Linked DNA regions of Daphnia pulex. The protein of the gene in region 1 purifies or fractionates together with the protein of each later gene. This does not show direct contact. Links are inferred from orthologs where the notes say so. Each region holds a gene or a part of one and is shown on either strand. Other genes may lie near its edges. The genes, in order: nuclear cap-binding protein subunit 2-like, phosphorylated adapter RNA export protein-like and importin subunit alpha-1-like.

Region 1 (2,934 bases):
GCAGCCAGCCAACATGCACCAGTCCCGCTATAGCCTCACGGCGGAGCACGCGGATCGGCACGCGGACATGAATGCTTCCAGCGGCTGCAGCAGTGGGAGAGAACTCGATTGCCGTCGCCCAGAAATATTCAAACAGCCAACACCAGATACACACACACTCACTCAGTACAATTTTCCTGGTAGTTCAGATGCACGTTGAATGTCACGTCAAGCACATTCTTTCTTCGAACGATAAATAAGTTAGTTTTAATTTGGAATAACTAAACAACTACCGAGCAATCAGAAATCGATACCATTTCCATTTTGGAAATCATCTAATTGATCAATGATCATTGAATTAGCTTCACATTTGACACAAATTCAATTGTGACATTCGTTATAAGTTGCAGACGACCACTGGGAATTGAATATTCAAATATTTCTTTGCATGTAGATGATGGCGTGCATCACGCGGCCGCAAAAGCTCTTCTGGGAAACTACCCGCTTCGCTTTGAAAAGGAAAAAGCTTTGGGAGTGACAGATCACATGGCAAGAGATTCTAGTGTCCCCACTTTTCGATCGATAAAATCCAGGCCAACCGGACTGGCAGATGGAAACATGACGAGAAACGTCTTCTTTCACAGGTAAAAAAGATTTTGTTTAGGAAATCAATTCAGCATGGTCTGTTTTAATTGAGGATAACACTTGTTGACATTTGTTAAAAAAAAAAACACACAGAGATGAATGAATACAGTATTTAGAAATGTTATCAATTGTTAGCAGCAGCAGATGTGGCCACCTTCTGCTGAATCATTTTGCCCCATCCTCCTCTGCCACCATCAAAGTCAGTTCGGTATTCATCTCTCACCTGCAAAACAGAAATCCATTAGTTGAGAACAATAAGTTTGAGCTGACGAAATGCTGACCTGTCCTCCAGTTTTGCCTCTGCCATATTGCCTTCCTTCAATGAAGCCAGCATCCCAGTCAGTTCTCACAATTCTGTCATCCAGTCTTGTCCCATTCACAAACCTGATGGCATTTTCTGAATCATTCCTCAGGTAAAACCTTGAAAGATAATTAGAAATAATTAAACACAATTTTGTTATTGGATTTGGTTGCAATGACTTACTCTACAAAACAAAATCCACAAGGGGTCCTAGTAAACTTGTCCAATCCCATGATGATTCTCTTGACATCGCCACATTTCCCAAACAATTCATGGATCTAAAATATTTGAAAAGATGAAATCAAATGGAACCAATTGTTGACTTGGAAGTATTTAACCTGTTCTTCAGTTGTGTAAAAGGACAAGTTTCCAACATACAGGGTGCAAGATTGACTCAACAGACGCTCCTGCTCTACCCGGGAACCCTGAAAGATGGAAATCAGTTATTTTGGCTTGAAATATCAAAATATTTTTAATTATTAAGGTATGCATTTCCATTTAAACATTAATTGCCTCAAAACTGTATATTAAGTTACATTTTCAATTCTGCTATCAACTCATGAGGCTTACTTTGAAATGTTGGTCTCGGTATGTGCTTGGAACCGCCATTTCTACGAATTATTTCGGGAGAACCAATCACACCGTTCACCCCAGTGTCTTCCGAATTAAGTGTCCTTGTATTCAGCCAATCAACCGGCTAAACTTTATGCGTTTTAAATTACTAAAATTGGTGTGGTTTTTTTCTAAAAAAAAGTGTGCGTTGACACAACAAACCTGACGCGAGTGACTTTCGAAAAGATGCTTATGGCGGCCGCTAGGTTACGTCACTTGCTAGAAACCCATTCCGGCGTTAAACTACAATTAAAAACCAAATAAAAATATGACACACTTTCGCAGATTTTTTCAATAATTTTTTAAAATCTCAATGAATTTTATCCAAATCTTAATTAACTTAACAGGTTTGTTTTGTAAATGTCAAAATTTTTTAAGTTATGCGAGTCATGCCTAGATGGCTCTTTTTATTCCAGACTCTTCTTGATTTTGCTAGTAAACAGTTTCATTGACGTCTGCTTGCCCCATGCGTTCACGGTTTAACTTGCGTACTGCGTCTTATTCTTCATAAATATATAACAAGTTGTTGTTGAGATCCTTAGCAAAACAATGGAACCCCCACGACAACCAAGAGATATGCAAGGACTTTTAAGATTTGCCATCGAAGGCACCGCAGCTGAAGATCGTACCACAACCACATCGATGAGTGAAGAAAGGAGACGCTGGTTAGAAGAAGCTCTAAGAGGATTGTCAGTCGACGTTGTAGCCGAAATATCAAAATCGTTAAATATCCTCAATCCAGATCGAGTCGAAAGTCCTGAAGAAGATCCCCAGGAGATGGAGGAAGCATTGGAAATGATTACTGACTTTGCCGATTCCATGGACACGGCTAATGGTATGAGATATCTTTTTTTATTGATTGAATAAAACATTGACACTTGTTTCGCTTGTTTCTCCAGACTTTCACAAGATAGGAGGATTTTTCATCCTCATCCCCTGTTTGAATTCTCCCCACGATGGAGTTCGTTGGAGGTGCTGTCAGTTGATTGGCACCCTCACCCAGAACAACCCATACTGCCAACAGCATGTGCTCAACGAAGACCTATTGCCAATTTTGCTTAAAATGCTGGAAAACGATGACTGTGAAGAGGCGAGAATCAAAGCCCTGTACGCCATTTCATGTAATGAGCAGATTTACAACTCACACTAAGGGAATTCAGTTAACAATTGATTGATTATAGGTTTGACAAGAGAATGTGCAGAAGCCCAGGATGCATTTGTGCATTGTGATGGTTTCTCGTCTTTACTGAGAGCACTGCAATCATCACTCGGGAAACTGAAAATCAAGGCTTCATTCTTGTTGACTTGTTTATGCAATGAGAATCCATCCTTCAAAGGTTTTATTCACATTCATAAGTTTCTCCATTTGTACTCTAACCAATACCCTGTTTACTAGA
Region 2 (3,905 bases), on another chromosome or scaffold:
AACAAAATAATGTTTGTGGAATGATAAGTAGTCAAAAGTCATTTTTCTTATGTCAAATAAATGAAACATGAGAAGAATTTAAAAACATATTTTATATGTCAAAGCTGAAATGATTTCAACATCATTTGGTTGTTTTGCATGTTAGTTGTTTAAACTGTTGGTCAGACCGTCAAATTAATGCTTCTTTGCTGGCCACAAATTAAATCAAGTGTGCACAAAAAATCCTAGGGAAATTTTATAGGTTCTTGCTTTGTCTCATATACCAAAAAATACCATTAAGTATTATTAGTGTGTCATTACTAGCAAACAATCATTACCAAACTAGGCCTATAATTTACTAAATAGAAATTTTAAATTTACCTTTTTCAGATGAAGCTTGAAAGTTGAAACACACAAAATTGTTCTTGCAACAAAAGGGGAAAAAGTCTTGAACTGATACAAAATATCAACTGTTCAAAATGTGATATGCCTTGCAGCTAGATAGGTTTTCAATTTCATCTCGCAGAACGATCTCCATCTCCTACGATGTGAATTGTGAAAACATCAGGTGTTTGTAAAACCGAAGAAAAGGCATCGTTAAATTAATTAAAATAAATTTAATGTGCTTTAAATTTCGTTTTATTTCGGAATACGTCTTCTTAGTCTTACAGCTGGCACCGACAAAAGGAATTCCTTCTAACAGCTTTTCGTACTCGAGTGGGCGGGTGTAATCCTTGCGTTGGTACCGTCCAATTTGATGCAAGACTAGTTTGACTTGTAACACGACTTATTTTTTAAAATCTGATTTGTTTCGTGACAGAAAAGTCTGGTGACTAGCTTGGCGTAGTTTTGATTTTAGCATATTGACTTCGGGTCATTCGCTTTCCCCATTGAAATACCCGAATTGTCGTTGTATTTCATCTGAAAAAAGAAGCGCATTCTCTTGCACTTAATAGTACCATGGACTTTACAAAATATCTATTATATAAGCTGTTTTAATATTGAAGTCTTTTCTTATTTCCAATAGGAAACTAATCAAATGCCATTTGATCTGATTCTGTGTTACAATTTTTTTAGGAGAAATGATTTTGCTTGCAAGTCAAACAAGCTGCAAAGCGCCGCCTCAGTCTATTCTTTGTTGCAACGTCCTTTCTCCTTTGGTTGTCTGTTATTTACTTATTTATTTTAAAAAATTCATATACGTCTTGTATATCTTTATAATATTTCTTTAAAACTGAAATATTGAGTCATTTAATTGGACTAGCCTACTGCAAATGCAAATATTATTTTTATTTAACTGTGGCATTTTATTTATTTAGATCGCGCGCTTATTAGTTCTATCCGTCCGATACTAGGTGTCTCTGTCGTCGAGAAAACATTGAACACTGTCTAGACTCTCTACCGTTTCTTGTGTTGTGAATTGAATTTCAATATCTCTTCACTGCTGAATTTTCCAGCGGCTGATAAACACTTGAGTTGGTTTCAATTCCAGGATCCTTTTTTGAAAGAAGTAAAAATTTGTTGGATAGCGTTTTATAATGCAACATATAGATGAAACTGAAGACGGAGAAATTTCTGACGATAGTGATGTAAGATACGGTTACTGCTAAATGTTAAATTGGTTGTAACGATCCATCCCTTCTCTGGTTTTCTCTGTGTCTTCATCTCATTTTATTAGATTGAGCCATATACTGCTTTAGAAAGACCTACATCATTCACTACTGCACACCAACCCTTCAAGCAAGTTGCAGAAGATACTGATGAATCGAGCGAGTCAAGCAGTAGTAGTGATGAAAGCAGCAGTGATGAGCAACTACAGAGGCCAGCAAAAAGACGAAGAAAAGCAGAAACCAAAGCATTAAAACCTGCCCAACCAGTTGGCAAGCACAATGTTTGGAGTACAGTAGTGTTTGAGGATCAGTTTGAACAAGACATTAAAGACATTAATGTGCATCACAGCAAGAATTACCTTGATAGGTCTAGGGATGTTGAATCTTATAACTATGTACTGTGCATGAAAAATCGCCTGGAAGAAGAAGACATTGATGAAAAAACTGAACAAAGGATCCGGAAGAAGATTGCTGATTTAGATGAAAAATATGGAGGTGGAGCTCCTGTGAAAGTAGAAAAGGCAGTTGATGAAGACTTTGAGCAGAGCCTTCAGCAAACCCAAACACTGTTGAATTCTCGAAAAAGGAAAATGGATCAGAGAGATAAAGAACCCCAAAGTACTGTCCCCAAATCCAAAGTTAAAGCAAGACTCAGGCGTGTTGAAGAGCTATCTGTTACTGAAAAATCTACTGTCATGGAAGTGGCCCAGGATATAGCTCTAAAGCTTCACGAAGAAAAGATGGATTTGATTCTCCGTGTAGTTGAAATATTGGGCAAGGAAATAACAATCAAACTGTTCTACGAAACGCAAGAAACTGAAAATGACGGAGGTATCTTGATCGCGGTAAGTTTATATACATTCTCTTAGTTTGAATATACTTAAATTAAAATCTCTTTACATTAATAGGATGGATCTCGGAGAAGGACTCCCGGTGGTGTCTTCCTCTTCTTGTTGCGCAATCACGAAGAAATCCCGATGGAAAAAATTCGTGAAATATTCAGCGAAGAGACCAAAGCAAGAGAACAACACAAACGAACTTTACGAGCTAAAAGACGGCAAACACAAGCAGACAAATTAAAGAAATCACTTCCAGGTAATCATGATTCATATTCTTACAGGTAGTGAAACGTTGCTTAATTTCGCAGGATAACTTTGCGGAAGCGAAGTTTTTCGTCTCTTCTTTTTTGTTCAACTACGTTTTTATATTTATATTCTAACCTTTGCCAAATTAAAAATATTTACAACTAAGAATTTCATCTTTTTTAAGCAAACCATAAAAGTCAGTTCAATCAAGTTAAATTCAATCAATGGTTATTTGGACTTTCTAGCGCCAAATACTTTACCTGAATTGCCAACGCGAGTCGAGCTGGAGATTCAAAAGAGTCAACAAGACGCCCAACCAACAGCAACTGAACCGCTAATGAAATCAGACAATGAAACAATAATGGAGCAGCAGCCCATCCAAAGTGAAATCGCTGAATGTGAAGTACTTGACTGTACTGACATACATTTCGATTCCGAATGAAGCATTTTTGAACGTAAGAACAGTTGAGTATGTATTCCTGAGAAAACTCCTAATTGTATGTTTATTTCTCGTATATAACATTGACGCTAATGCGTGTTTGTACCGAGACGATTTAAAATACAGTACCTTTCCAGTTCTTTGTCGTCGTGGACATGAAATTATTAACCACGATTTAATCAATATAGGTGTAGGGATTAATTTAACTAATAAGACGCAAGAGTATGAATTGTATTGTTATTATTCGTCTTATTACGACACAACCTGGCATGCACTTGCAAGCCTTACAAGTTCAAAACAACCACTCAGACAGTCGACTCGTACGAGATAATAAGGAGTGTTACTTCCACCGGCGAAAATGCGGATTTATGTATAGTAATATTCAACTCGTTCGTAAATGCTACTTATAATGTCTAATGTGCATTAGTGTGAATCAGGCCGCCTACAGTAATGCATATTGGCTTCCCCAGTCGTTAACTAGTAAACTCTCGATAACAGGAACTTTCACTCTCAACAACACAGCGAAACTTTCAACTCAACACATTTTGAAAAATACAAAACAATAAAAAACCTTAAGAGTGATTTGGAAACAAATCGTCATTGACCAACAAATTTCGAGATTAAATCATTATGTGCGCGCTTCGCGGTCTCTCCATCTCTTTAATTTCTCTTACTAAAAAAGAATCCGTACAAGTGGCAGCAACAAGTAATCCCTCATAACAGTGATTATATTAGCCGACTAGGTCTATGTAATATTCTACTTTACAACGGTTTCCTCGAAAATAATAATTT
Region 3 (4,307 bases), on another chromosome or scaffold:
ATTCCTGTAGTCGATAGTAGTATCTGTTAGGGTTAAATGTCAACGTAGAAATGAAACTTTGATGTGGAAATTATCTACAAATGTCAGAACACGGATTAACTGTAAGCAGCCAACAACCTGGAATCAGGAAATCAACTTGAAATACAAAAAATAAAAACTAGCACGACAAAATCAAAACTTATCAAATGTAGAGTTGATCGAGTTGTTTTGTATTGCTCGTTTATCGCGCATTGAGAAAGAGGAAAGAAGACGTCGTGCATGGACAGAAATGAAAGCAAATGGCAACTTTCAATTAAAAAACAATTTAGAAAAAAACTTTGAAATAAGAAAAGGCCAAAACTCATGATTAGGATAGCGTTCAAGAAAGTGAAGAATATATTTACCGTTGTAAAGGCAGAAAAAAATCAAAAAGAATTTTTAGATTATACAAAATTTAGAATGAGAAACCTCCTTCGGGGGCTTGAGATGGCGAGTTGTTGAATTCGTAATTGCCACTCTGCGATGTAGATGGCGCCAACTCGGAATCTTCATCCCCCTGTCGAAATAACAAACAAAAACGATTAAATCAAATTCAAGAACACTATTTCAAAATAAAACTAATTTTCTAAAATCTCAGTAATGGTTAAGTTGTCAGCACAAACACTATGAATGTGAACAGTTGTGGTAATCATTGAAATAAACCCAAAAAAAGAAACAATAAAAAAAGAATAAATTACGTCAGTTGAGAAGTACTGCTCCAGAATGGCCAATGACTTGTGATAGATTTCAACATTGTCGTGGCTCTGCAGAGCTTCGATGCGGTCCAGACCACCACACTCTTCGACGTGAAGGGAAACTTTCTCCAATTCACCCATTTTCTCAGCTGCGGCCAAAATATTAGCCAATCCATCCAGCACGACCAAGATGGTCTTGGGTTCCTTTGCCTCCAGCAAAGTGCACAGCGGAGCGATGGCACCAAACTGGCACAACAAGGCGATCTGCTCCACATTGCCACCTGAAATGAATAAGAAAAATCAATTAAAAATCAATAAAACACCAGTAAAAATGAAATAAGTTACCTAAAGTGATGTTGGTGATGGCCCAAGCTGCCTCCTTTTGGCATTTGAAGTCACCTTTGCCCAGCACATCCACCAACGGACGAATAACATTGTTGGTGATGAGAGCCTGAATCTGGATGGCATTGCCGGCAGCAATGTTGGACACGGTCCAGGCAGCCTCCTTGACGATGTTCATCTTAGCATGAACGAGTAACTTGGCCAGCAACGGGCAGGCACCAGCAGCCAGGACGGAATCGGTCTGAATGTCACTTCCTGTAACGATATTCCCGATTGTTCTCAGAGTGGGGGTGATCACGGCCACCTCAACGTGGTCCAGCAAAGCGACCAGCCGTGGGACGACACCGGCGTCGACAACCTCCTGAATCCGTTCGTTGGGGCCATCGGTGAGGTAAGAAAGAGCCCAGCAAGCATCGGCGAGGATCTCTTTGTCGTTGTTGTGGATCAGGTGGGCCAATGCGGGAAGCAGTTGCCGGACGGCAGGGACACTGGGCGGAGGATTCTTGTTACGACACAAGTTGGACAAAGTCCAAGTGACATTACGCAAGAATGTGGCCTATAGATCAAATCAATTAACAACTGCACACGAACGTAAATTTAAAATAAAACTCACCGAAGTATCAGGTTTAATCAAAGTAAGCAGAGGCTTGATAATGCCTTGCTCGATGACGTGATCACGAAGCTCTGGTCCGTCTCCGGCGATGTTACCCAGAGCCCAAACAGCTTGCTCTGCCACAACTGGATGAGGTGACCCCAACAGGGAAATGAAGCCAGCGACAGCCCCAGCACTGACGACAGCCTTTGTCTGGTCAGATGTGCCTGAAGCAATGTTGGTGAGAGCCCAGGCTGACTCAAACTGCAGATCGGGGCTGAAACAAAGAAAGACCATTAGGAAATGTTCAAAAACCAAAAGAGACACTTGACATACTTGCTGACACGACTGAGAAACTCCACCAGCTTCGGAACAACATTTGCATTAATGAGGATGTCAATGGGTGGATTACGTTCCCTGCTGAGGATTTTACGGGCAGCATGGGTTGCAGTGATCTCCTTGTTCTCATCACCACTGTTGATACCTAACGATAATGAAAAACATATGAGAAGCAACTCAGAAATAAAAACTGATGCACACATACCATTGACTATGTCCTCAATGCTCATATTTGCTGCAGCCATCCGATTCTGTTCTTGGAGTGGGCTGAGGGGCTCATCATCGATTTCAAGGTTACGTCTCTTCAACAAATGATCTTCCTTCTTGGCTTTCCGCAACTCAACATTCACCTCTGTACGTCTCCTCCTCATTTCCTGAACAAGAAAGATGAAAAATCTGTTACATTTGAGAACTGACACTAGTTATTTTAAGGTATTTACCTCAACATCTCTGCCTTTGTTCTTGAAGTCCTTCAACCGGCTGGGATTTGCTTCAGTAGGCATTGTGATAGTGTAATTTACTCCAGCTGTCAAAGAAAGAGAATTCTAAAAGGGATTTTCAAATCTGGCACAATGACAAAAGAAAAATGAGAAATGGGACTCGAGACAATGAAGCAACAAAGAGAAAAAATTTCCCGCGCCACGTGCAAAATTTCCCAGACTATGGCAGTCGTTAAAAATGTGTCAATGATGACTCATACCATTATTTCACAATTTGTTATAGTCGAAGCAAGAAGTAAACTATTATTCCACGTGGGAATGTCAGAAAAATTGAAAATTAATAGAGAGAGGAATTACCTGCGGGACTTGTGAGCAAGAATCAATTGATGAATGGTGACCGTTTGATCGCTAAGAGAATTCCAGACGACGAAGAAGAAGAAGGGGGAGGGAATTTCAAACCTAACCGTTGCCTGTTGCCAAATTTATTCATTGATGCAATCGGAATGGGATCAAATCTGGCAACGTATAAGCAGACGAGAAAATTTAAAATTTCAAAATAAGCAGAAAATGAAAAACGCCGATGGAGCTGGTCATAATAGAATTTAACTGAAATTGATAATTGATTTTAATAAGAATTTGTTACCATAGGATTTCTCATTAATTAACCTTCTGACTTAATGATCTGTTGGAAGTCTTTCTTTAAGAACATGATGTATGATGATGTCCAAATGACAGTGTCAGAGATCTCTCCCCTGGTTTAAACAGTTTTCATAAAACTAGCATCAACAATTTTTATGTTGGCAGGAAGAAGTTATACAAATATAGATCCAGTAATCTTGAACATTCAATTTATATAAAACTGTTTTCCAAACTAAAAAAGTGGCAAAAATTTGAATACCAGCCAGTGCCAGCCGATTCCTGAAAGCTTAAACTTTAGACTGCCATCTGGAAGAAAGAAAAGTTTTCTCCCACAACCCAAATTAATTTATACTAAATTTTCAAATATTTTTCAGACCAAATTTTCCATCAGTTGTAAGAGTATCATCCAAAATCAGTGTGAACAGAATCAACAGATAAAGTATGGAAGAAACTTCATTTTAATACATCTTCCTAACGAAATGAGGTAGGCCTAGCTGTGATACCAAACATACAGAATGAAATTTAGATTTACAATGTCTCTTGTCTGATCTCTAAACTTTCTGTAGAAATTAAAACGTTTTAATTGCTTTAAACACTAACAGTTGTGAATTCAAGTTATATATCTTATTTCATTTAATTTATTAAATCAGTGGCAGGCAAATAACTTTTATTTTTAAAAATCAGTTTCATCCGACTGCAAGAGGGGACCGTTTAGCCTTTCGACAAGTTTGATCAACAGAGCGTACCAAATATAGTTCAGTTGGAATCGCTAATTCCGACACAGGTGGTCGTAAAATCCGTGCTGGACAGTGTGCACGTAATACGTTAAACACATTTTTCAGTCTATACGTTTCTTAAAAACTAATCATATTCTGTGATTAGGTCACGTGTGCTAATAGACTCTAAAATTCCTTTTCATTTCCAATTTCCCCACAATTAGTTGCAATCCGCCGGGCAGTTCCAAAAGAAACGGAGAAATCCAACGTGAACAGCTGCAACTCCCGTCATCGGTTCAACTGGATTACAACGACCCTGCAAAGTTGGTGTTGCAGTTGGTGTTTATTCCAACACATTCGTATCACGTCCAATCATTTTCCAGCCCCTCGTAAATTGTCAAGTTTCATTTGAATCCGATAGTTCAACTGGCGCTACTTAAATAATCGACATAGAAAAATGCGGCTCGACTATAAAATGACGACCCACTTGGGCGTTTGAATTCCTAAACCCCCACGTCTGATCTCC

What was found.
Region 2: the proteins of nuclear cap-binding protein subunit 2-like (region 1) and phosphorylated adapter RNA export protein-like purify together in Homo sapiens (affinity purification with mass spectrometry; 5 studies listed by BioGRID and IntAct, with this or other methods). This does not show direct contact. The link is inferred for Daphnia pulex from reciprocal best matches to the Homo sapiens genes NCBP2 and PHAX.
Region 3: the proteins of nuclear cap-binding protein subunit 2-like (region 1) and importin subunit alpha-1-like purify together in Homo sapiens (affinity purification with mass spectrometry; 4 studies listed by BioGRID and IntAct, with this or other methods). This does not show direct contact. The link is inferred for Daphnia pulex from reciprocal best matches to the Homo sapiens genes NCBP2 and KPNA2.

Annotation. Positions count from the first base shown.
Region 1 is NC_060026.1:16,276,702-16,279,635, reverse strand, and holds nuclear cap-binding protein subunit 2-like, read right to left. Parts: upstream 1,731-2,934; 5' UTR 1,535-1,730; coding exon 1,496-1,534; intron 1,351-1,495; coding exon 1,264-1,350; intron 1,204-1,263; coding exon 1,109-1,203; intron 1,045-1,108; coding exon 906-1,044; intron 848-905; coding exon 749-847; 3' UTR 652-748; downstream 1-651. Other genes in the region: hsp70-binding protein 1-like, read left to right, coding at 2,087-2,372, 2,437-2,658, 2,719-2,874, 2,934-2,934. UniProt on the Homo sapiens protein: Component of the cap-binding complex (CBC), which binds co-transcriptionally to the 5' cap of pre-mRNAs and is involved in various processes such as pre-mRNA splicing, translation regulation, nonsense-mediated mRNA decay, RNA-mediated gene silencing (RNAi) by microRNAs (miRNAs) and mRNA export.
Region 2 is NC_060019.1:7,576,858-7,580,762, reverse strand, and holds phosphorylated adapter RNA export protein-like, read left to right. Parts: upstream 1-1,337; 5' UTR 1,338-1,517; coding exon 1,518-1,568; intron 1,569-1,657; coding exon 1,658-2,434; intron 2,435-2,497; coding exon 2,498-2,684; intron 2,685-2,919; coding exon 2,920-3,116; 3' UTR 3,117-3,252; downstream 3,253-3,905. UniProt on the Homo sapiens protein: A phosphoprotein adapter involved in the XPO1-mediated U snRNA export from the nucleus.
Region 3 is NC_060028.1:48,859-53,165, forward strand, and holds importin subunit alpha-1-like, read right to left. Parts: upstream 2,937-4,307; 5' UTR 2,784-2,936; intron 2,551-2,783; exon of another isoform or gene 2,513-2,550; 5' UTR 2,490-2,512; coding exon 2,427-2,489; intron 2,361-2,426; coding exon 2,192-2,360; intron 2,132-2,191; coding exon 1,984-2,131; intron 1,925-1,983; coding exon 1,669-1,924; intron 1,612-1,668; coding exon 1,059-1,611; intron 995-1,058; coding exon 717-994; intron 536-716; coding exon 434-535; 3' UTR 189-433; downstream 1-188.